Caenorhabditis elegans: one gene and its partner. Changing the gene in region 2 together with the main gene of any one other region gives a genetic interaction. Each region holds a gene or a part of one and is shown on either strand. Other genes may lie near its edges.

Region 1 (12,221 bases), on a different chromosome or scaffold from region 2:
CATCGGCTCCTTTTCTTCCAGGCCTACCACGTGGGCCATGTGGGCCTACTGGACAATTGATTGCTGGTCCCGTATCACAATCACATGGGTCTTTATTTGAATCCGGAGTTGGAGAAGCTTCACGAGGAAGGCGAGTTGCTGGGAGCATATCTTCCCATGCACCGTTTGCATACAACTGAAAATAATAGTAAGGCCTCTGCCTCTGGAGTCACTGAGCAAAGTTGAGGTCTCGACACGATGATCGAAACATTTAAAACGGAGGCTAAGAAAAAAGAGTTTTCACCTTTAAAGAGTACATTAATTTTCATTCATTTTGCTGTATAGTTTTCATATGTTTACGTTTATGGAAAATATTGAGATTAGTTGCAAATTAAAGGGTAGTGAAAAATACTGTACTTTTTTAAGGCGCACAACCATTTTTTTCGCAGACTTACTTAAACATTTTTTGTCGCTTCGAGACTATGATAATCATTTAGCAATAAGTCAATCAATGTTTTTTAAATACTAAAAATATTTGCATCTTCTGGTGAAGCTTAAACATAAGCTTAAGCCTACTATCTGCAATTAGCCTCTCACCTTGAATTCATCCATTCCATCCATTGCACTCATGTGCATTTGTGCAACTTCATAAAATAAAGAAATAGTACATGTTAGCATTGGAATAAGAAAAGCTGCACAAATGACAGTAACACCAGAAGCCACATTGGTACCGTAACCCATTTCAGTAGACTGTCTCTTCACTGCCGTTCGTATCACTCTTTATATGCACGTTGGCATGGGTGATACGTTCAGATGTTGGATGTGTAGATAGATAATTCCACAAAACGTTTTCTTGTCATAAAATCGACAGTCATGTAATGATATCTAGACACTAAATACACAAATCTATAGATAATAACAATTACATTTAGAACTTCGGAAGGACAGACGGCAGCGACCAGCGTTTTAAAGAGGAGAGAGAAGTTTGACAGGAAAAGAGGGACTGAAAGAGAAAGTTGACAGGAAGTGATCAGAATTCAAATTGAACAAGAAGTGAGTATATAGATAAAAGTTATTTAGAGATGAGTATACATCTAAGAATGTTTTTAAAAAAAGTGAAATGAGTTCACATTCTTTCAGTTGAAAAGTAATTATCATCTTGGATGTCCCGATATCTTGCAATTTCTTGTTCCAGATAATATTTCCGTTCAAGAAGTTCTACCGTGTGATCGTGTTGAGGCCATTGGGCAATTAGCTCATGTCTGAAATTTTTAATTGTATTTTTCAATTGGACTTGAATTTGATTTAAGCAAAATTTCGGTCAGGATATTTAAAATTTTCACCGTTATTTTGGAAAATAAATAATCCATAATTTTTGTTACTTAAAACTTTTTAAAATTATAATTTTTCAAAAAAAAACACTTGAAATTGCACTTTTTGTTTTAGAAAAAAATTATTTCGCTTTTTCGATTTGAAATAAAAAATCGAAAAATATGTAATTTTTGTTATTCAATATTTAGATATTTTCAAAAAATTTAGATTTTTTGATATTTAAACTAGTTTTTTATTTTGATAATTTTTTATTTTATCAAATGAAAATGACATGTTTAATTGTTTTTTTTTCACAAACTTAACACAATTTGATGAAAAGCTGATATTTTCGTAAATTAAAATCTAAACACTTTTTCGATTTTTTTTTCGGAAAATGCAATGATACAAAATTTGAATTTTTCCTCTTTTCCAGAAATGCTTTTTATCTTAAAACAAATTTTTTACATTGAAACATAGCAATTTCAACTAACTTAGCTCTCATAACTTCTTTTTTAATGACCCAAGCATCTGCATATTGTTTATTATTATCACAGTGTTGATGAAAGATTTCCAAAGATTTTTCGTCACGAGTATCAGGATCAATAGGCTGAAAAATTGAATGTTATTATATTTAATTCAAATCTCATCGAAGGATTACTCTAGTCTCCTCATTCGAACAAATATTCATAAAAACGGCATGTTTTTCCTCATCGTTGCTATCTCTTCGGTGCTCAAAAGGAGGAGGAGGACGTGCGTCTCTATGTGGTTGCCTGAAAAAAAGAGATATTTCATAATACACCACGTCAATGGAAAAAATAAATGTCTACTTTTGTAGAAATACCCATCAAAGTGTTAGTTTTTTAATTTCTCTAAGAACCAAAGAAGCTAAAATTTAAAAAAATTATTTTATTTTTGGAAAATGCCAAATTTTAAATACTTTTCGGTCATATTTCTATTTTTAAAAGCAATTTTCGTATTTTCTCATCGAAATATGAATTTTTTGATAAATTAATAGTTTCATTTTTTAAATTGATATTTATTACACTTTTTTTCGTTTTTTCTATTATTAGAATTTCAGAAAAATCAAACAATGTTCGTTTTTAAATTTTTTGACTTTCTCTGAAAAAATTGAAAAATCGATGTTTGAAAAATAGCTTCAAATTTTGGTAATTTTTCTTTTCTATAAAGAAAATTACATGCTTTCTTTGTTTTTTTCATAAAAACAAGTTTTTAAACATTTAATCCTTTAGTTAATTTTCTAAACGTTTTTTTCGGTTTTTGCGAGAAAATAGAAAGACAACAATTTTTTCAATTTTTTTTAATTTCGTCTGAAAAATAATCGAAAATGTTTTTTTCAATTATTCTAGTCTAAATTTGCATGTCTTTAGATATTTAGTTTCTTATCCGAAAAACCCCAAAAACAGGACAGTCCTCATCTCCATTTCCATTAATTCCTACCTTTGCTCGCTTTTGGCTCTATCCCGAAAATTTTTAGCTTCACTTTGAGATTTTGGTATTCTAGATGCACCAGCTTCACCCGGAACCGTTGGATACGGTAGATCCTAAAATTTCAATTTTCTGTTTTTCAAGCTATCCAAATGAAAATCTTACCGGTTGCACTACAAAAGTCTCACTACGATTTCTTCTATGACCCTGTCCAGGTTGTTGAGGATTTAAAAGTTTTGAAGCAGTTGGTGTTCGATTATTTGATCCTATTCCACTTCCAGAAGAAGTTCCAAGCATTGTTGGTCGATGAGCATGTGGTGGAGGAGTTTCTGCTGGTCCATTTGTTGAAGAATCCGATAAAGGTACGCTCCCATTCGGATATTCCTTTAATGCAAAAAAAATTAGTTTTTTTGGAGTTTGGCGAGATTCATATGTTTCATAGAAAAGCAGGTCTTATCACGAATACAGTAATTCTCAGATAAAATTAAAAATTGTGTTGGAATAACACAATTTTTAAAATTTAAAAACTTTAAAATAAATTCAATAAATACTTTAATTTCTTCGCAATAAAAAATTCGAAAACAAAAAATTTAATTTGCTTTGCAGCACCTTCTTTCGAGATTGTCCAAAAATTTTAATTTTGTATTTTTAGAAATATTTGTTCAATTCAAAAAAATTGTTTTTAACTGGTTGAGTATTTAATTTTTAATTTTTTAAAAGAACTTACATCTTTTAGAAGAGTAAAATATTCTACACATTCGGAAGAAGTCGGTCGAATATCAGCATTATCATTCCAACATTTCTTATAAAATTCAGACAAAATAGGATTACATTCGAGTTCTTGTGGACGTAAGTTAGCTGTCGCAACATTATATAAAAGTCCAGGAACTGAGAGATCTCTTCGATACGGATGATTTCTAGCAATAATTTGCCACATTATAATTCCAATACTGTAGATGTCAGATTTCATATTATACTGTTCACATCGAAATACTTCTGGAGCCATTGTGATTGGAGTTCCACGATTTGAAGTCATTGATTGATGCATTGAGGTAAATGTTCCAAAATCACATAATTTCATTGTTCGATATCGATCAGAGAGAAGCATGCTGAAATTATTTTGATTGACCACAGTAGGTGATTTAATTTTAATTTTGAAAACTGACCGCTAAAGATTTCTGATAATTTATTGAAATTTGAAAAGCTACAAAAATTAAGAAATTCCTCATTTTTACTTTTAAAATGGCTTTTTAAAATTATTTTCATATGATTAGTTCTTCTTGGAGGATATTTTTAAATCCACTTTGAAATATTATTTTTTAAAAATGATTTTTTTTAGATTTTACACATTATTTTGTGGACCAATTTTCAAGGAACTTTTTGCTTAAAAAAATAAAAAAAATAGCTCACACAAAAATGTAGAACCCTTTAAAATTAATTTTTCGAATGTCTAAAAATGGATTCGAAACATTTCTGCTTTTCTGTACTAAATTCACTTAAAATTTCAAAAGATTTTGTTGAATTTTTCTAAAATCTAAATTGTTAAATTGACAGGATCTCCGCCATTAATTCTTTCAACTTTTAAAAAATTTACCTAATATATTAGCTAATAGTAAAGAAAAAAATTTCAATATTTTTCTGTTAATTTTCAAAAATCACTGAAAACATCTTCACATCCAACATATATATTTCTTTCAATAATTTCTGCTATCAAAAACTCACTTTTGAAGTTTCAAATCTCTGTGAACTTGGCTGTTGGAATGGAAAAAATCGACGGCGGATGATAGTTGAAACATCCATGAAGCCACATGATCAATTGTATAATTAATGTGTGTTCTGTCGTAGAGTACTGAAAAAAAAATAGATTTTTCAGCTAAATTTTATTTTGGAGAATTGCCTCATTGAAATGAATTTTTAATTTCGTAAAAAACAGGGTTTGGAGAATTTAAAGCGATTTTTTTAAGACTAAAAATGGAAAAAAAAAACCAAATAGCATTTTTTTTGTTCAAAATTATAGTGAAATTTTTTTTGCCAGATTTTTCGTGTTACAGCGTCCATATATTGATTTTTATTCAGTTTCTTCCATATTTTGCAGTATAATCCGCTTTTTTGATGTATTTTAATATATTTTTAGCTGATAGAAATTTCTGTTCCTATTGCCGAAAAAATGTAGTTTAATTCGCTAAGAAACACGGAATAAACCGACAAAATGTTAAAAAATTTGGCGAAATCGGGGATTTTCACTAAATTTAAATGAAAATCTCACAATCGGCCATGCTTCCACAATCCATATATTCCATAACGACTCCTTGCCCATTCCGAGGGCTTTTGTACAGTCCATAAATTCTGAAAAACTTCTATTTTCAGTATTTTCCATTTATAAAAACATACTTTATAATATTAGGATGATTTCTGAGATCCCACATAACTTTTGCTTCTCTTATAAGAGTTGCCATATGAAGTTGAGAAGAATATTTGATTGCTGCTGGCCTGAAAATAATATTTTGGTGATTTTATTGATTTTTTGTTAACTTTTGATAATTCCTCATGCTTTAAAAGAATTAAATTTAAATTTTTGAAGCTAGAAACGAACCTAAAGTCATCCTGCCTAGTTTTTCTATATCTTGTTTTCTCAACCAATCCATAAGTGCCTTTTCCGAGATAATGACTATTTAAATTATCAATACATTGTGCTTGAATTTCGGGAATATCAATTGTTGAGCACAATCCGGAATCTCGTGTTGTTCGTTGTGTTGGTGTCTGAATTTATTAATTTATTGAGTTTTCAGTGATTTTTATTGATAGTTTTGGTAAAAGCAGGCTTTATACGTCTTCAACTGATTTTTTTAAAAATTAAATACAATACTGTTTTTACAAGAAAACGTTATTTTTCTTTACTCAAAATCCATTAAACTTACAATTGCGGCAGGACTTGGCGAATGACTGGACGAACTACTAGACGGTTTGCTCTGTGACGAATTGTCCATTTCAGAGCCGAAACGGTGAAAAAAATGGTGATGGGCGGCAAAGGACAGGAACTGGCATGTGTTGTGTGTGTATACTCTTTCTCTCGCTCAGTGGAAACGATATAGTGCACAAGTAGAAGAAACTGCAGACGAATAACAAAATAGACCAACGGGACACAGACAGATTTCCGATTTAGACAAGGAAGAATGATGATTTTAAAGAAGTTACTGTAGCATGGCTGAAAATTGTTTTGATAAATACATAAAATTCAATTGCGCAGGTTTTACAGAAAATTCAAAATAAAGAATAATTGAATGTTTTAAGTTCTGAAAAGTAAAGAAATTACACAACGGGGAAGAAGTATGGAAATTTATTCAAATTATATTTGTATAAAAAATACAAAGATCGAAAATGTTCTAATTTTCTGTTCTTCTGTTCTAAACTAATTTTGTTAAATATATAAATAATGTTTTCAGCTTAATTCGAAATTGCAGAAACAATTCTTTGTTGGGGACACTGTGCTCAAAGGCGCATGACGCAACGAAACTTTTGGGTCTCACCACGAAACTGTCAAACACGGTAATCCTAAAATTTAGAGAAGCTGTCAATTAATTTATGAGTTTTGTTTGTCTTAATTTTATGTTTAAACCAACAAATTGTCTGCATTTTTTCTTCAAAAAATTTTATTTTTTACTTCAGATGTCAATTATTGATGACCGAACGGATCCATCTTACGACGGCGAGGACTACGAAGCTTCTATAACGGTATTTTATTTCGATTCTTATTTTTAAGATTATTGAAATGTTTCTAGTTCGGAACCTATCAACAAGAAGAAGTCGCCCCGTTTGCTGTTCATCAGTGTAATGTGTGTAATAAAATGTTTATGAATTATAAAGGTTATTCGCATAAAAATAGAAAGCTGAAATAAAAAAAAACATTTCAGGTCTCCAACAGCACTCTGTGATTCATACCGACACCAAACCATACATCTGCGATGTTTGTGGCCGAGGATTCCGATACAAATCGAATATGTTCGAGCATCGTACCGTTCACACCGGCTATACCCCTTATGTGTGTCCATTTTGTGGAAAACAGTTCCGATTGAAAGGAAACATGAAAAAGCACATGCGAACTCATGTGACAAGCAAAGAAGAGTTGGAAGCTGCTTATAGACCATATTCGAGGTTGGCAATCGGTCGACCCTTCACCTTCACAAATAGTTCGTGGTACGTATATTATACATTGGACGTACAATAAATATGTTATTCACATTGCATTGCACGAATTTTAAGAACTTCGTCCATTATATTATGTGAATAATACATTTATTGTACGTCCACCGTATAATACACGAACCACGAATTATATGTGTTGTACGAGGGGAATTCTGATATCTATCTCGTCTTAAAAATGATTTCAGCAATCGGCGTTCGTCTGGAATTATTCCGTCCGATGCTCTAGTCATTCGTGGGACATCGATGCCCTATTACAATCCAGAGAAGAAGCGATCGGTTCCGAAACTTTTATTGGGTAAAGATCCTTCAAAATGGGTTGATATGATCTGCCGAAACCAGCTTATCCCACTATCTTCATTTGACGATAAAATCATGAGAGCTACAATGCGATTGACTAACTGTCACATGGCATCCGATGTTCTAGAACAAGCTAAACCACTCGAGTTTGAGATGTAAGTTTCAATTCAATTTGAAATTACAGTACTCTTTAAAGGCGCACGCCCTTTTGTATTTTACAAAAAAAGAAGACGTGAAAAGACCAGCGTTTGTATTTTTACCGCAAATTATTATAATTATTGTCTTACTAATATCCCATGCAAAATCTGAAAATTACAGCTTTCGATGCCCAATTTGCAAGTGCGAATGTAGTGGAAGAGAGGATTGTCAACTGCATATGTATGCTTCTCATGATAAGAAAGAAGCTGAAGAACCAAATTATTGCACGGTAAATAATTGAAAATTAAATCTTGAATATCCTGTAAACTTTATTTTCAGAAATGCATGAGAGTATTCGCCGACGTAGATATGTATCGTCAACACCAAAGCTATCATTCTCGTGTTCAATTGATGATTCGTAATAATGAACTTGAAATGGTGAGTTGTTAAATATTGCTAATTCTTAATTGTATTATTTTGTTTCAGGGCTCTCCAGAAGTCGATATCTCTCAAATCTGCTACAGTATGATCACTAACACTGAAAATGAGATGAACATTCTAAAACCATCAGCATAGTTTTTCCCCTGAATTTTCCCCACATCCCTGTCTTTCTAACGCCCGTGTAATTGTTTTGTTCTGTTGCACTTGTTCCTTTCATTTTTATGAAGTTTTCATTTTGAAAATATGAATGGAAGACAAAATACAACAAACGTTGGATGATGGCAAAGTTTTTTAAGGAAGGAAGTAAAAAAGAAGCATAAAGGAGTTGGGAAATTCACAATTAAAGCACAACCAAAGCAGGACAAGGTGAAGAAAAAGACAATTTGGGGGAATGTTTGAATGGTAAAGCTGTGATAATGAGAGAAGATGATTTCTGATTTTAAGACATTTAATACACAGGGTTGGGGATATCAATGATACTTCTTTTAATTTGGAAAAACAACCAATTTCAGATTCTAGAATATAAATTACATTTATGAGACACACGTTTTGAATATCCCTCTCGCGGGGGAACAAAAAAAGATTTGAGGGAATCGGGAACACACAGAGAAAGAGCAGATGTTTTCGGAGAAAGCCGGGAAAAAAAAGTATGAAGAAGTGAGAGACGCAGACGAAAAGCAGTGCAGGTGGCTCATTAAAGAGGTAAACGAGTTGAGGTGGTGCATATTGATACTTTAAGATTATATGTTTGACGGATTTGAAGGTGTTTTGAAAACTAGAAAGCGGGGAGTTTTTTGAATTTGAAATGGAAGAGAAAGAGGAGAAAACTAGGCCAGCATTTGCTTTGTGGATTTACGAGCGATTTAACTATTACGGGAGCACAATATTCTGAGAAAACATGTTTGACGTGCAAAATATTTCGTAGTGAAAACTACAGTAATTCTTTAAATGACTACTGTAGCTCTTATGTCGATTTCCGGGCTCGATTTTTCTTTCAATATTCGAAAAAAAAATAATTCAAAAAATCGAGCCCGTAAATCGACACAAGAGCTACAGTAGTCATTTTAAGAATTACTGCAGTTTTCGCTACGAGATATGTTGCGCGGCTCAGAATGTTGTAATCTCGTAATATATAAGTAGTTTCCAATGTTTCTTGCAAGTTTTAGCGTTAAAATTGCATCAATTTCAGAAAATAGCCTTAAGTACACATCGGAATATTATTTGCAAGTTTCATTTTTCAATTTCCTCTTCCATTTCAATATTCTTTAGCAAAAAAAAGGTCGAGTGAACAATAAATAAACTAATTGTAAGGACCGTTTCCCCCTAACATATTGTCCAATTCACTTGATTGAGTATTTCTAAGAAAGGTCAATGACCGAAAAGTAACTGGCAAACTCTCAACTACTGTCATTTTTGGTGCAAACGGTGCAATCTGGCGACATCTGCCACTTCTTAATACGGTCTCTCTCTCTCTTCGCTCCACGATGCTTGATTGATGATGACCACCGGGCTGCTGGTGCTGCCCGAGAGAGCACACAGATTTGAGAGGAGTAGAGATAAATCAGTTTGAAAGAATAGATTGAGGAGAGTGAGGGATAAAAGAAAAAACTATTTGAATAAAGAAGGAATGTATTGAGTTTCTGAACACAAATGTGAATCAATCGGTAATGTGAAAACTAGAAATAAATACGATTTTTTAAAAACTTAAAACCCTTGCTGCATTTGCAATTGTGTCAGCATGATTTGAGCAAGTAGAGCACTTTGATTTCCGAAAAGAGCCGCTTGTGGGGAATACTGAGGGAATGGCACTTGTGGGGCAGTCATTTTGAGAAGAGCCTCCGAGAATCCAGGCATTTGAAGGAGCATTTGAGATGTTGGGGAGCTCTTTTCCGCGGAGCCAGGAGCAACTGGAGCAGCAACAGGTCTTGATGGTGTTGATTGAATCTCTGGGATCACGGATGGAACAGGTGACTCGCATTTAACTTCTTCTTCTTCTTTAATAAGAGTTGGAATATCATCTGATGTTGTTTCAACGTCAACTTCCATCTCGTTCTGAAATAAATTACCGTTAAGATTAAAAGATAAAGTGACTTTGGTAAGTTTTTCAAATCTTCACAACTGCCCATTTCGGATCAAAAATTAATATAGAAAAATGGAAAAATATCTGATTGATTCGGAAATAATCTTCATTTTCTTGGGAAATTTGGAAACTGGAGGAAGTTGTCATTTACCAAAAAACTGTCTTAGAATTTTTTTTCGGTAAAGGACAGTTTGAGAAAGTTTTTCAGGTCTTTAAAGTAATTTTTATGAGCATTTTCCCAAAACTTTTAAATAAAATTATTTTCAGAGAGTACAAATATTCCTCAATTAAAAACTTCTCAGAATCAAATGTTATAAATTATTGTACCTCTTTCTTTGACTCCTCTTCCAATGTAGCAAGTGGTTGTGTTTGAGAGAATTGTTGGAAGAGAGCATCCATCATTTGACTGAAAATTCAATTTTATAGAAACTGTTTATTGAGAATGAAATAGAATACCTTGATGGAATGAGTCCTGCTTGTGCTGCAGCCAACAATTGCTGAGCTGACAATCCAGCTGGAAGTCCAGAAAGTGTCAAGTCAAGTGGACATTCATCAGAAATACTGATTCCCTTAATTGGAGTTTTCGTGCGTTGTGGTGTTGTCTTAATTCCCTTCCGTGCAAGCTTTTCCTGATGGGCAATTGGACAACCAGAGAGACTACGGTGAGATGTTCTATTTCCATTGACATGTCCCTTTCCAGAGCATCCGGCTGTGGTGCATCGGAGCACGGTGTCTTGTCGGAGAGCAAGCACTGCAAACGGGAAAAGTAAGTGAGTGAGTGGGAAAAGTCATCAATCTTTGGCTCTTGCTACTGCTACAAGTATTGGCTTCAAAGTAAGTATGAAATGCATGAGAGCTCATTTATCTTAAGCTCTTTTTACCAGATTAATGAGCTAGTTTACTTGTTGCTCCAAGTTCACAGCCAGCTAAGATTTATGTTTAGTTTCAATTTAAACTTACTTTGGATAACAGTCTTGTCTGGTCTACGTGGACATCCGGACAAACTTCTGTGATGAGTGTAGAGTCCTGTCTGATGTCCTGATCCATCACATCCAGGTGTTGGACAAGCCAGTTTGCCTTCTGAAAGTTGGGACTTAGTACCGCTCCAAATGGAATTTCATGTGATTCGGTGCGAGTGGAGTGGTAAGTGAGGGGATTAGTTTATTTTGTGGTTAGTGCACTCATTTTATCCCTCCCAAATGGATTATTATTTTTTGATATTCTTCGAAAGAAAACTCAGAATGGGGGAATTAGTGGTTAGTAAGTTGGGGTTAGAGATTGATTTTCAACTGAAATATCTTCAGAGGATTACTGTAGGGTCCCAACTTTCTGTTCAAAAAGTCCTTACCACGTCTGATGCTCCATGAGTAACCAGTACCAGGTGATGGAATTGATCCGTTTGGAGTAAATGCAACTGTTGGAGTTGTAGAGATTGAAAGTTCATCACTGATATTTGTATGTGTAATTGGAGACATAACTCGAGATTCTGATCCAGATGAGTGTGGTGGGCTTGAAGCAGTTAATGGAGTCTTTGGAGTATCCGACGATGTCATCATTGGGCTCTGAAAATCGTATTTTTTGGTAAAAAAGATATGAAACGAAGAAAAACAATAATAGTAATCCATCAAAGTTGGCAAGTCTCACTCTTTACTACTACTACTCCTAGTAAGAACAATCGGTGAGGCGGCAGTGTCATTGGTCACGCAATGTCATCCGTTGGGTTCTAAGGTGTTTTGTGTCTGTTTTGACATATAATTAAAGTTGGAAGCCCTTGCGTGACCAGCAACTTGTTATTTCAAGTCATTGCTACCAACTAGGTGGTCCGAGGAGTTGTAAGAAATTTGATCTACCGTACTCGCTTTAACAATTGAATTTAATAGAGTTTCCAAAAGTTCCGTGAATTTTCCTGAGAACTTTCCTAAATCTTATAGAAAATTCCAGAAGTTTTCCTAATTTTCTAAAATCTCCAGAAGATTTTTGAACCTCCTAGAACTTTTCAAACGTTTCTCCAGCTTTTCTTTCTGAAACCTTTCGAAACAGTTTCGACTTTTCAAAGTTGCTCGGTTCTTCCAAGACCTTCCAGATGATTTTTAAAAATTTTTAAAAATTTTCCGGAACTTCCCAAAATTTCCTCGAAGACATGACCCTAATTTTCGTTAAGCTAGGCATTGCAAAACTACCAGTTTCCCTTGAAACTTCTCACTTAAATTTTCAAAATTTTGAAATAATTTCCCAAGTTGAGCTGCCATTCCCAATTTCAATATGTGTCAATGTGAGTTCATAAATATGCAACAAGTCACTTTTCTCTACCGTGTGCCCCCCATTC
Region 2 (9,429 bases):
TATGTAATACACAAGTAGCCGGCAACCTTTCTAGTCCAGTATTGAGTTAATAAATGAAAAGATGTTTCTCGACTAAAAATTTCATCATCTATGTATCTCTCAGCTCTCTTATAAAGTGGTCATTGATTATCTCCTTTATTTGGGGTTAATAAGGTTTTCTCTGTTTATTAAGCATATTTTGAACCAGATTGGTGCACATTTTTTAATAAGCACCGCACACCACAAATTTATGAAAATGTTGGTTCATACTGAGAAGGTCTCTGGCGCGCAACCCAAATAAATTCTTCAGTCATTTCAACATGTCGTTTCGATAAATAAATTAGAAAAAAAATGTGAAGGATATCTGAATTTGGAATTTCTACCACCACCGAAAATTGAGGAAACAATAAATTCAGAAGCAACGATGCATTCTCTTTATTCTTGAGAGATGATCAGAGTCCAATTATGAGAATGTCGACATTATATGGTCCTTCCATCTATACATTTTTGATGGCTCTGGAAGGACACAATACAGTATGCTCTAGATGAAGCTTGATATTTGAAGCCCTGAGAACAAAAATATCTGAAAAAACCGTAACATGCAAAATTTTATAATACTTCTGAACACTATTAAGTGTCAAGTGGGGGATGATAAAATAAAAATTTAAAAAAACTATGAGAGCAAATAAGATCTATCTAGAAGCTGTGAGAGATGTTAACAAAAAATAAAGTCAATTCTCTTTTTGTGTTAGAGTAAGTGTGGAAGAGAGAGATAGAAAATCTAGTTACGCGTCGTTGTATGTTACTCCGGATATTTCAATTGAGTCGTTCAACTTGACGAATAACGTATGGGGCCGCTTAGAAACATTCGTTTTAGATTATAGGGTTAAACTAGCTTTTGCATCTGAAAACAGCTTGTGAGTAGAAAAAAAACCATAGCTTGTATCCAACGTATTAAATTATTATTATTAGTGTAATAGTGGGTTAAGAGAGCCAAAGAAAACGTAAGATGCAAATTTTAACATATCCGTTTTAATATATGCAAATGGAAATCTAGAAGTTCAAAACATCAATAGTTTAAATAGATAAAAACAGTTTGACAAGACGCCTACTCTGTACAAATTTAAAAAACCAAACTGATTGCACTCAGCATGTTGTCTTGCAATTTCAAAGCATTACATCTAAAACCGCTCCTTATAGTGCGCAAGTGGTGTCAGGCTGTACCAATACGGTTTGAAATACAAAAAAAGCGGGATTTTTTCGCACAGAAAGATTGAGAACTCTGTATCTCAACCGCCGCATTTTTGTTGATCTACGTAGATCAAACCGAAGCGGGACATTCTGGCGCCACGTGAGTGTGTAGATATAAAGAATTTTTTAAATTTCTATACAATCAAAAATTGGCAACCAATCTTTTCGACGAACATTTCAAAAGTTGTCACCGAATTTTTGAGTGAAAACCTCCAAAAATCCAAATTTTTCAATGTTTTTATTATGTTTTCCGAACATTTGGGACTATTTTAGGTATGCGGGATTAAAAAAAAAAATTTTTTTGGCTCCCAGTTATATGTGTAAATCCTAACTTTTTTCTCTGAAAAACTAAACTGATAAAAACGACATTTGTCAAGATCAAAAAGCGATGACATAAGCTTTCCTTGCAACAAAACCTACAAATCTGTGTGCCTCTAAATAAGCGTTTCAGATCATTTCAAATTCACGATAACGACCGATTGTTGAAAAAGGTAAATTATGTAACAGAATTTGCGTCTTGTTTTTTGAAATGCAGAAAAAGACCAATACGGAAAAATCTAGTCTCAAAATCAGGACAAAAGCGTTGATGTGAAATTCAAGAAATTTGATCTCACACCAGCTCAAGCAACTCCTCCCCCGCATCTCTCGTCAGAGATTTTTTTTTCAAAATAAAACAAAGAAATAGGAAAAGAAAAGTTTAGATCTATGTAGTAGCAACAATAGAAATTATTTTGACGGTCGACTTGAAAAATGTTTCTTGATCTTTTCAAAATTGTTCCCAGAGTTGAGATTGGTAGCTTCCACGTAAGGTGTCGAACAGGGCACACAAGTGGTGTCAGAGTTACTCATTTTGGTTTGATCTACGTAGATCAATAATACAAAAAATGCGGGAGAAGGGGACGCAGAGTTCTCCACTGATTTCGTATGGTTAAGAACGCGCTGACGTCGCATTTTTTTTGGGCGAAAAAATCCCGCTATTTTTCTAGATCAATCCGTGATGGGACATCCTGGCACATGGCACCACATAGGCACATATAACGTTACATTTGTAATGAAAGCATCATAATCATACTCCCCGCAAAAATAACACATAATACATGATAACAAATATTTATATTTACTAGCAACAATATTTATTTTGAAGGTCGAGTTAGAAGTAGTTTCTTCATCTTTTCATAATTTTTTCCAGAATTGAAGTTGGTAGCATCGACATATGGTGTCGAGCAGGGCTCATACAATGTTGCATTTGTAGATTCCATTGTCGAAATCGCTGAATCGAATTGTTCGTAAAGAGCCGCTTGGTAATCTTCCTCGAGCTTCACATAAATCACAGTCATTTCCTCTCTGTGATTACTGATACAGAAATTTTTATCGTCGCTCATCTGAAAATAAAATAAAAATAATATGGCAATGTGGAATAGCAAAATACATCCGCCCAATGTTTGAACAAATTTAATTGAATTGAGAAGAAATAGGTAAAATTTTGTAAATTGTATTCAAATTTGCTTATCTAAAAAAGGGTAAATCCAACAAACCGTGTAAGCATCGCGATGCTTTCTTGCAAACGAGTCTACCAATGCCTGCGCTGTACTTGTAACTGTGTGATCTTCAATTAGTCGAACGGATACTTCTCTGAAAACTGGGGAATCGATGAAAATTTTATTTTTTATTTTTATAAACGTGTGACTTGGTTATTGACGAAAAAGTTCCATAAGTTTGCTACTTACGTTGGGATGTTTTCAACTTCAACTTCCTTAAGATTCTGAACTACACCGTCGGAGATCAGAACCAAATGTCTCCAGGATGGGTCGATCTAAAAGTAGAAGTTACCTGTTGGTTGGAAAATAAGCATTTAAAAAAAGAAAAGAAAACATGTTCTCATTTTGTAATCAAATCTGAGGTGTTGTGACTAATATTTTCATTGAATTTGATCTTTTATCTTGTTTTTCGTAAAATGTTCCAGAACAACATTTCATCATAGCAAACCTTTGTATACTGAACATCTGGAGTAGAAATAACCGGTGGTCCTTTTGCATTCTTGAAAGCTTCCGTCTCTTCAAACAGGTGGGTTCGTTGTAAGTCACCGATCGCTCTAGTTGGATTCAGAACTGTCTGTAAACTTATTTTGTAAAATTATTACAAAAAAAATTAATTACCTCCGGATTAATCCCTAGCCCTTTTATTCGTACAATCTCCAAAGGATTGTCATTATTGTGTAGATTTGAGTTGAGCTGCACTACGTTCTCACTGTTCATAGCAATTGCGCTGAAAGTTTTTTTTTTTCAAAAATTCCTAACAAACAGTTTCAAAAATCTTACAGAGAGTTTCCGCAATTTAGCACATATAGGTCCTGGTTAATGATCATGACTACTATGGCAGTGGTACCTTGGCGAATCTGAAAATTTGGGAGATTATAATAATTTCAAAATTTAGTCTAACTTTTTGATTGATTTCCGATACTGCATTATTTCCAGTTTCCGACTGTTCCTCCAACTTTAACAGTCGATTGTTCAAATCATCGGTGTTCATCAACAAATAACGCTCGGCAACGTTTTCAAATTTCCGTTTAAATTCTTCCACCACCTGAAAATGTAGTTGTAGAGTTGAAAATTTGATTGTTAAATCACTTGATAAGGGAGTAGTGTTGGTGTAATTGGATTTTCTCCAAAAATCTCATATACCAATCTGTTCATGACAAACTTCGCTGTTGAATCGCCACCATTAAATCCGGAAAAAATACCGTAGAGTTTGATGGGTCCATTGCTGAAAAATGAAAATTTGTTAACTTTTACTATTAATGTAATCTACTAATCTGTGTCTACATGATCTTTCATGTTTTAACAAAAAATTACGATAAATATAGTTTTATTTTTTAATTGATGTACTTGTGACATTTACTTCCTTGCAAACAAATTGTATTTAACACCTTCAATGTATCGTTCCAAAACTTTCTCTTTTCATTTTTTGTTCATTGTGTTACTAGACAAGGAAAGTGTAAAAATTGCATTTTCCCACGTAATCGTTCAGTTTATTTTCCACTGAATTGCTGTAAAATTTGACTTTTTTCCTAATTAAGATCGGTTTATGTTTCATTTTGCAACAAAAAAAGTAGAATAAACTCACTGTATGCACATGGAGCACGATAAAAAATCGTTGTTCTGCACCGGATTTTTTTGTTTTGAGTAGCGGCAGCTGTGCACAGTGCCAATGCCCGCATCGGTGTTGGCAGGGTATTGATCGAGGAACCCGTCGTCCCCCATTTTGCCTGTGCTCTGCGACTGCTCTCCTGCTTATCTACAATCAAATTCACGATGAGTTAGAGAAATAATGACAGAGAAAACGATTAATACAAACGATAAACAAATTTGTTGATTGACTACTTCTACTTTCTTTTTTATTATATAAACGTTCAATGAGCAACAACAAAAAATTCTAATCAAATTATATTTTTATATTGAAATACAATTTAAAAAAAGGGAAAAATTCTAATTCTAATCTTCAAAATCTATATCCGGTCTTTTTTCTCACGCCAAAACGCGTTTCTATTCTTATCAAAAAGCAGCAATGGCTAGCCAAGCACAAACACGTTGAGAGAATTGGCATGCCGACGCGCGCACGCACCCTCCCAAGCATACACCGCCGCGTGTGCCAAACGCGCTCCATTGGCAAAAACCGATAGTCGCAATTTGGACAATTAATGCATTTTCGCATAAATAATGAGCACATTGTTTTTGATTCAATATGTTCTATTGATGATTTTCTGTGTATTTATGTAGTTTTTTGTAGTTCGCACCTGAAAATCGATTTTTTTTGCAGAATTGTACACCGAAGATGACGTCAATAATCAAAAACCAGCTAGTCAAACATTTATCCAAGTAAGTTAATTTTTGAGTGTATTGAAAAATATTAAAAATCGATGACAACGTCAAACATATTTTTTCTCAAATAATACCCTCCTTGTTTAGTTGATAAAATGGATGTTAAAATTTTTGTAACGCCACTGGGAATTTTGCCAAAATATGCTCCAAATCGCTTAAAAAAACCAAAAATATCTTGGTAATTGCTACTTGTGACAATAAGTATAAAATTTCAAATTTTTTTTGAAAAGTTTTACTATGGAATTTAATCAAGTTTGCACCCTCAAAAAATTCACTTTTTTTCAGATTCACAAAAAACTTGAAGCCCGAGCAGATATCCTTAGACGTGTTAAAAGGAAATAGTAAACTTCAGTTTATTGAAATTAACGAAGATGTTTTGACAGAGATTTTGGTGAGTTTTAAATGTACATGCTTTCCTTGCATAAACTCAAAATTTCAGGAGCTTCCTTCGTGGTTGAAAATCAAACGAGCATTCTGTACAGGTGTAGCTGTGAATGTACCATGGACCAAATTGAAAACTTGCCCAATTCAGATTGTAGGTTGTTTTCTTTTTTTTGAATTAGAAATTGAAGTAGACAAATTTATTCTCGTATTTTGAATAATTATATCAGACAAATTAAATCTGCCAAATGTTGCATTTTTGATAACGTTTTCTATTTTGTAAAAAAAAAGTTATAAATATTTTGAAAAGTGTCATAGTCTCACATAAACTCCTTTTTCATTCAAATTCATGCTTTTATAATCGTAAAAATAATTTCAGTTCATTGATGAAATCAATGTGGATGTGGAGCTTACCAATGAGCATAAAAAACAGGCAAAATCAAATCCACTTGGGTAAGCATAGTTCTACCATTTTCGAAATTAAACCCTTCACGTTTTTGCAGAAATCTCGGTGACAGCAGTTCATACGGCTTCATGAACAAAATCATCGAAAACATGTCTTTGTATATAAGTTCTGTAGAAATTAACTTTGATTCCGACGTATTCGGAGGCTCATTTATGGTTTGTGTTTGCTCAGCCGGAAAATGTTTTAATTAATGAAATTTTTCAGCTTCAACGATTGTCAGTGGAGAGCAGAAGTCCAGGATGGGCTCAAGTGAAAGACTTGCGTCAGACTAGAATTACGTGCTCGGAGACAAATAGAACATTGATGTTTAAGCAGGTGAATTTTTAAAAAGAAACATTTCTAGAATCAATTTGAATAATTATAAATCTAAAAATATCTCATCAAAGATGAATCTTAAAAAATGTGATTAGAAAAAAAATATTCAGGAAAAATACATAGTTGGATTTTTAAAATTTTCAAAAAAACATCTGATATTCAAATTGTTAAAATAGGCTTAAAATAAAACCTCCAACTTACAGCTTTCCTGGCATCTCCTTCGCATTGAAGCCTCAGCGAAAACTTCGAAAAATGAGCAGCGATCCAAAATCAATGCTCCATTACGATTGATCACGAGTGGCGGAAAAATTCGAATTGCATTGAAAAAGAATGTAAATGGTGAGTTTTTGTTGGTAAAGCAGAGAATACAAAAAAAAGTGGAATAAAATTGAATCGTATGCCGAGTTTTAAATGCAGTTTTGGAACTTTTATTGCCCATAAAATCATGGGAATTTTTTTATGTGTGTATATAAGAGCATATTCTGGATTTTGAGGAAAAATTTTGTAAAAAAAAAGTAGATAGAAAATTTACGAATTCATTTTTTTCAATGAAATTGATGTTCAATTAAAAGTGGACTACGGCCAATGGAAAAATAACTAAATCCCATTCCTGTAATGCTAAAATTACTAAATATCATTAAGAAAATTTCCAGAAGCTTCTGAAAAGTTTCATTGATATTTGGTAGTTGTAGCCCTATAGGAATAGTTTTAAACCATTTTTCCACTAGCCGTGGGCCACCTTCAAATTCATTTAAAGAATTAAAGTTTCAAGAATATTCAACTTTGTCTCCTCTGATCGAACTATTTTAGACTATATCTTTTCAAGCTTTAAACCCTTTCTATTTTAATCTTTTCCAGACGGCTCGGTAATCCACGCTAGAATTCAAACAATCCTCGACGACATTCTCTGGGTCGCCACACTTCCCCAACTCCGCTCAGCAATCTCATTTGCCAGTTACATTGCCAAACTTGTCAAAGAGTCTCAGAAAAACGATGTGATAACCACAAGCAGCGGGAACGATAATCCGTTTATGAAAGCCGCCGGCAACAGTGCGACGGCCGACGCGAGCACAATTTCCTCTGCGTACAATATTTTCTATTTTGACCAAACTTCATATCATCTCCATGTCAAGAAAATTGACCTACATTTATGTGATGATGCTCATACAGCCAGTGGTAAACTTTATCAAAGAATGATAGTTGCACTATACAAATTAAAATTTAGATTACCCACCAGATTGGGATATTGAAAGCGGTGCTATGCAAGTTACTCTATATCAAGTTCTCATCGACGTCTACCCAAAAGCTCATGCTCAATCAGATAGATCCACGTGGATGAGATATTCAAATACAAACCCAATTGCTGCTTGGTTCCGAAATCATTTGTCGGAGCAATTTCTTACACTTCTAGGAAATGCTGAAGGTAAAAAATGTCAATTCGCAGAATTCTTTAGAAGTGAACTTACATCTAGAATCTATAAATTGTTCGTTCTTTATGAATTGAAAACAGTTAAAATCAGTTTCATTTTTGCACCAAACAAATACGTCAGTAACTTACAAATAATTTTGTGTAATTTCAATATTACAGGTCAAACAACCCGGACAAGACTAGAACGTTGCTGGCCCCAACTAATAGGATTCTTTGTGGTTCTACGAGTTCATGACTTGACAATTCAATGTGTTTCTGATATGAACACAAAGAAGGACGCGTTGACAAACTTGTTCGAAAGTGAACGACACCTTCACTCACTACCGTCTGACCAGCAAATTGTGCACGTGGAGTTTGGCGCGTTTTACCACCCACACTCGGACAAGCTTCCGGTTCCAAACTCTGCTGTGTACTTCCAACTTGGTCCATTCACGATTTCGTTTGACGAACGAACGATGAGATGGTGCTGTTATGTTGCTCATGCTCTTTCATCAGCTATTGTAAGTTTCCAAGGGTGAAGGGGAGAATTTGCTTTAATTTCAGGAAGACGGAAATCTTATTCCTGAAAATGAGCTGGACATTCAACCACCAACTATCAAAGTCAATTTGGTAATGCCAAGGGTGAGTGAAGTGTAGCTTAATTATTATTTTTCGTGGTCAATGAGAATGCTACATTGATGTTCACTGTGTCCCAAGTTTCAAAACTTTTTCAAAAAAATAGTTGGCATATTTAGAACTAGGTCTTTATTATATATTATATTAATTTCAAAACACAAAATTAATTATTTACACTTTTCTTTCAAATTCCTTTTTTTTTCAGCTTGTCCTTAACCTGCCAGGACCATTCACAGATTTCAACTTCCCTCGAAGACTTGTTACGTCTATGTCAACACTCTCTATCTCATCAAGTCAAATCGACTTCAAAGAGAACAGCAGATTCCGCATTCTGTCTGAGAGCACAGATGAGCATAGTGATGTGAAAAATCAATTGATAAATGGACTCAACAAATTTCATATTTGCACATCACCAGTTTGGATTGAAATTGATCATGGACCACAGACCAAAGGATTTCCGTTTTTGCACGATGTTAGTGTTTTATGTTATACATATTAAATTAAAATATTCAATTTTATAGGTGTCATTTAATGGCATTTTGGCAATTGATAAAGATAAAGTGAATGTCTTGGTGGAGCCAGCAGAGGATGTTGCCGTAGTGGTCGACCATTACCAGTTTCTGCAGGTACGTACGCAAAAAAATATGTTAGGATGTTCGAAACTGTTAACTTTTGTAACATATATTATTGTATTTTCTGTTTTAAGGTATATTTTGTCCCTTAACCATATCCCTTCAAAGGTAGAGTAGCGCCAGTGGGTATTTTGTCCAAATACACCTATAACAATCTAAAACGACCGAATATCTTAATAAAAACTCCAAAAAATTTGAGATTTTTCATAATTTCCGGTCAAAGTTTGGGCAAATTGCCAAAATGTTTTTAAAAGTTTTTGAGGAATTCCAAAGCAATGTCGCACCCCTACAATGTTTTAATACTAATAATTAAAACAAAATTACAGTATAAAAAATGTAGAAAACAATTTTTTTTGGTCGACTTCCAAAATGATGAGCGACAAAAACTAAGTAATTGTAACTTTTGACATTAATAAAAAATTTTCAAAATTTTGTTGAAAAATTTTATTATGATATTCCTTTATTTTGAGACCATGGGAGTGG

The links.
Region 1: of tap-1 (region 2) and mom-4, changing one enhances a phenotype caused by changing the other (phenotypic enhancement), as found in Caenorhabditis elegans (one study listed by BioGRID).

Annotation. Positions count from the first base shown.
Region 1 is NC_003279.8:9,894,877-9,907,097, forward strand, and holds mom-4 (Mitogen-activated protein kinase kinase kinase mom-4), read right to left. Parts: upstream 5,942-12,221; 5' UTR 5,724-5,941; coding exon 5,655-5,723; intron 5,497-5,654; coding exon 5,330-5,496; intron 5,227-5,329; coding exon 5,128-5,226; intron 5,083-5,127; coding exon 5,003-5,082; intron 4,586-5,002; coding exon 4,459-4,585; intron 3,846-4,458; coding exon 3,464-3,845; intron 3,121-3,463; coding exon 2,902-3,120; intron 2,853-2,901; coding exon 2,749-2,852; intron 2,061-2,748; coding exon 1,949-2,060; intron 1,898-1,948; coding exon 1,782-1,897; intron 1,242-1,781; coding exon 1,106-1,241; 3' UTR 802-1,105; downstream 1-801. Other genes in the region: col-64 (Nematode cuticle collagen N-terminal domain-containing protein), read right to left, coding at 1-175, 577-720; lsl-1 (C2H2-type domain-containing protein), read left to right, coding at 6,403-6,468, 6,516-6,600, 6,648-6,888, 7,125-7,391, 7,555-7,663, 7,714-7,812, 7,861-7,950; Zinc finger protein ztf-11, read right to left, coding at 9,520-9,867, 10,223-10,301, 10,352-10,646, 10,856-10,975, 11,244-11,457. UniProt on the Caenorhabditis elegans protein: Part of the Wnt signaling pathway essential for the specification of the mesodermal cell fate in early embryos. Stimulates the wrm-1/lit-1-dependent phosphorylation of pop-1 and plays a role in the initial nuclear accumulation of wrm-1.
Region 2 is NC_003284.9:14,584,719-14,594,147, reverse strand, and holds tap-1 (TGF-beta-activated kinase 1 and MAP3K7-binding protein 1), read right to left. Parts: upstream 4,525-9,429; 5' UTR 4,491-4,524; coding exon 4,354-4,490; intron 3,994-4,353; coding exon 3,858-3,993; intron 3,814-3,857; coding exon 3,670-3,813; intron 3,626-3,669; coding exon 3,549-3,625; intron 3,496-3,548; coding exon 3,387-3,495; intron 3,343-3,386; coding exon 3,217-3,342; intron 3,044-3,216; coding exon 2,958-3,043; intron 2,863-2,957; coding exon 2,766-2,862; intron 2,613-2,765; coding exon 2,364-2,612; 3' UTR 2,327-2,363; downstream 1-2,326. Other genes in the region: bltp-3B (Chorein N-terminal domain-containing protein), read left to right, coding at 5,062-5,105, 5,394-5,499, 5,548-5,643, 5,869-5,942, 5,993-6,110, 6,160-6,270, 6,474-6,609, 7,129-7,446 and 5 more. UniProt on the Caenorhabditis elegans protein: Involved in the Wnt signaling pathway by regulating mom-4 kinase activity.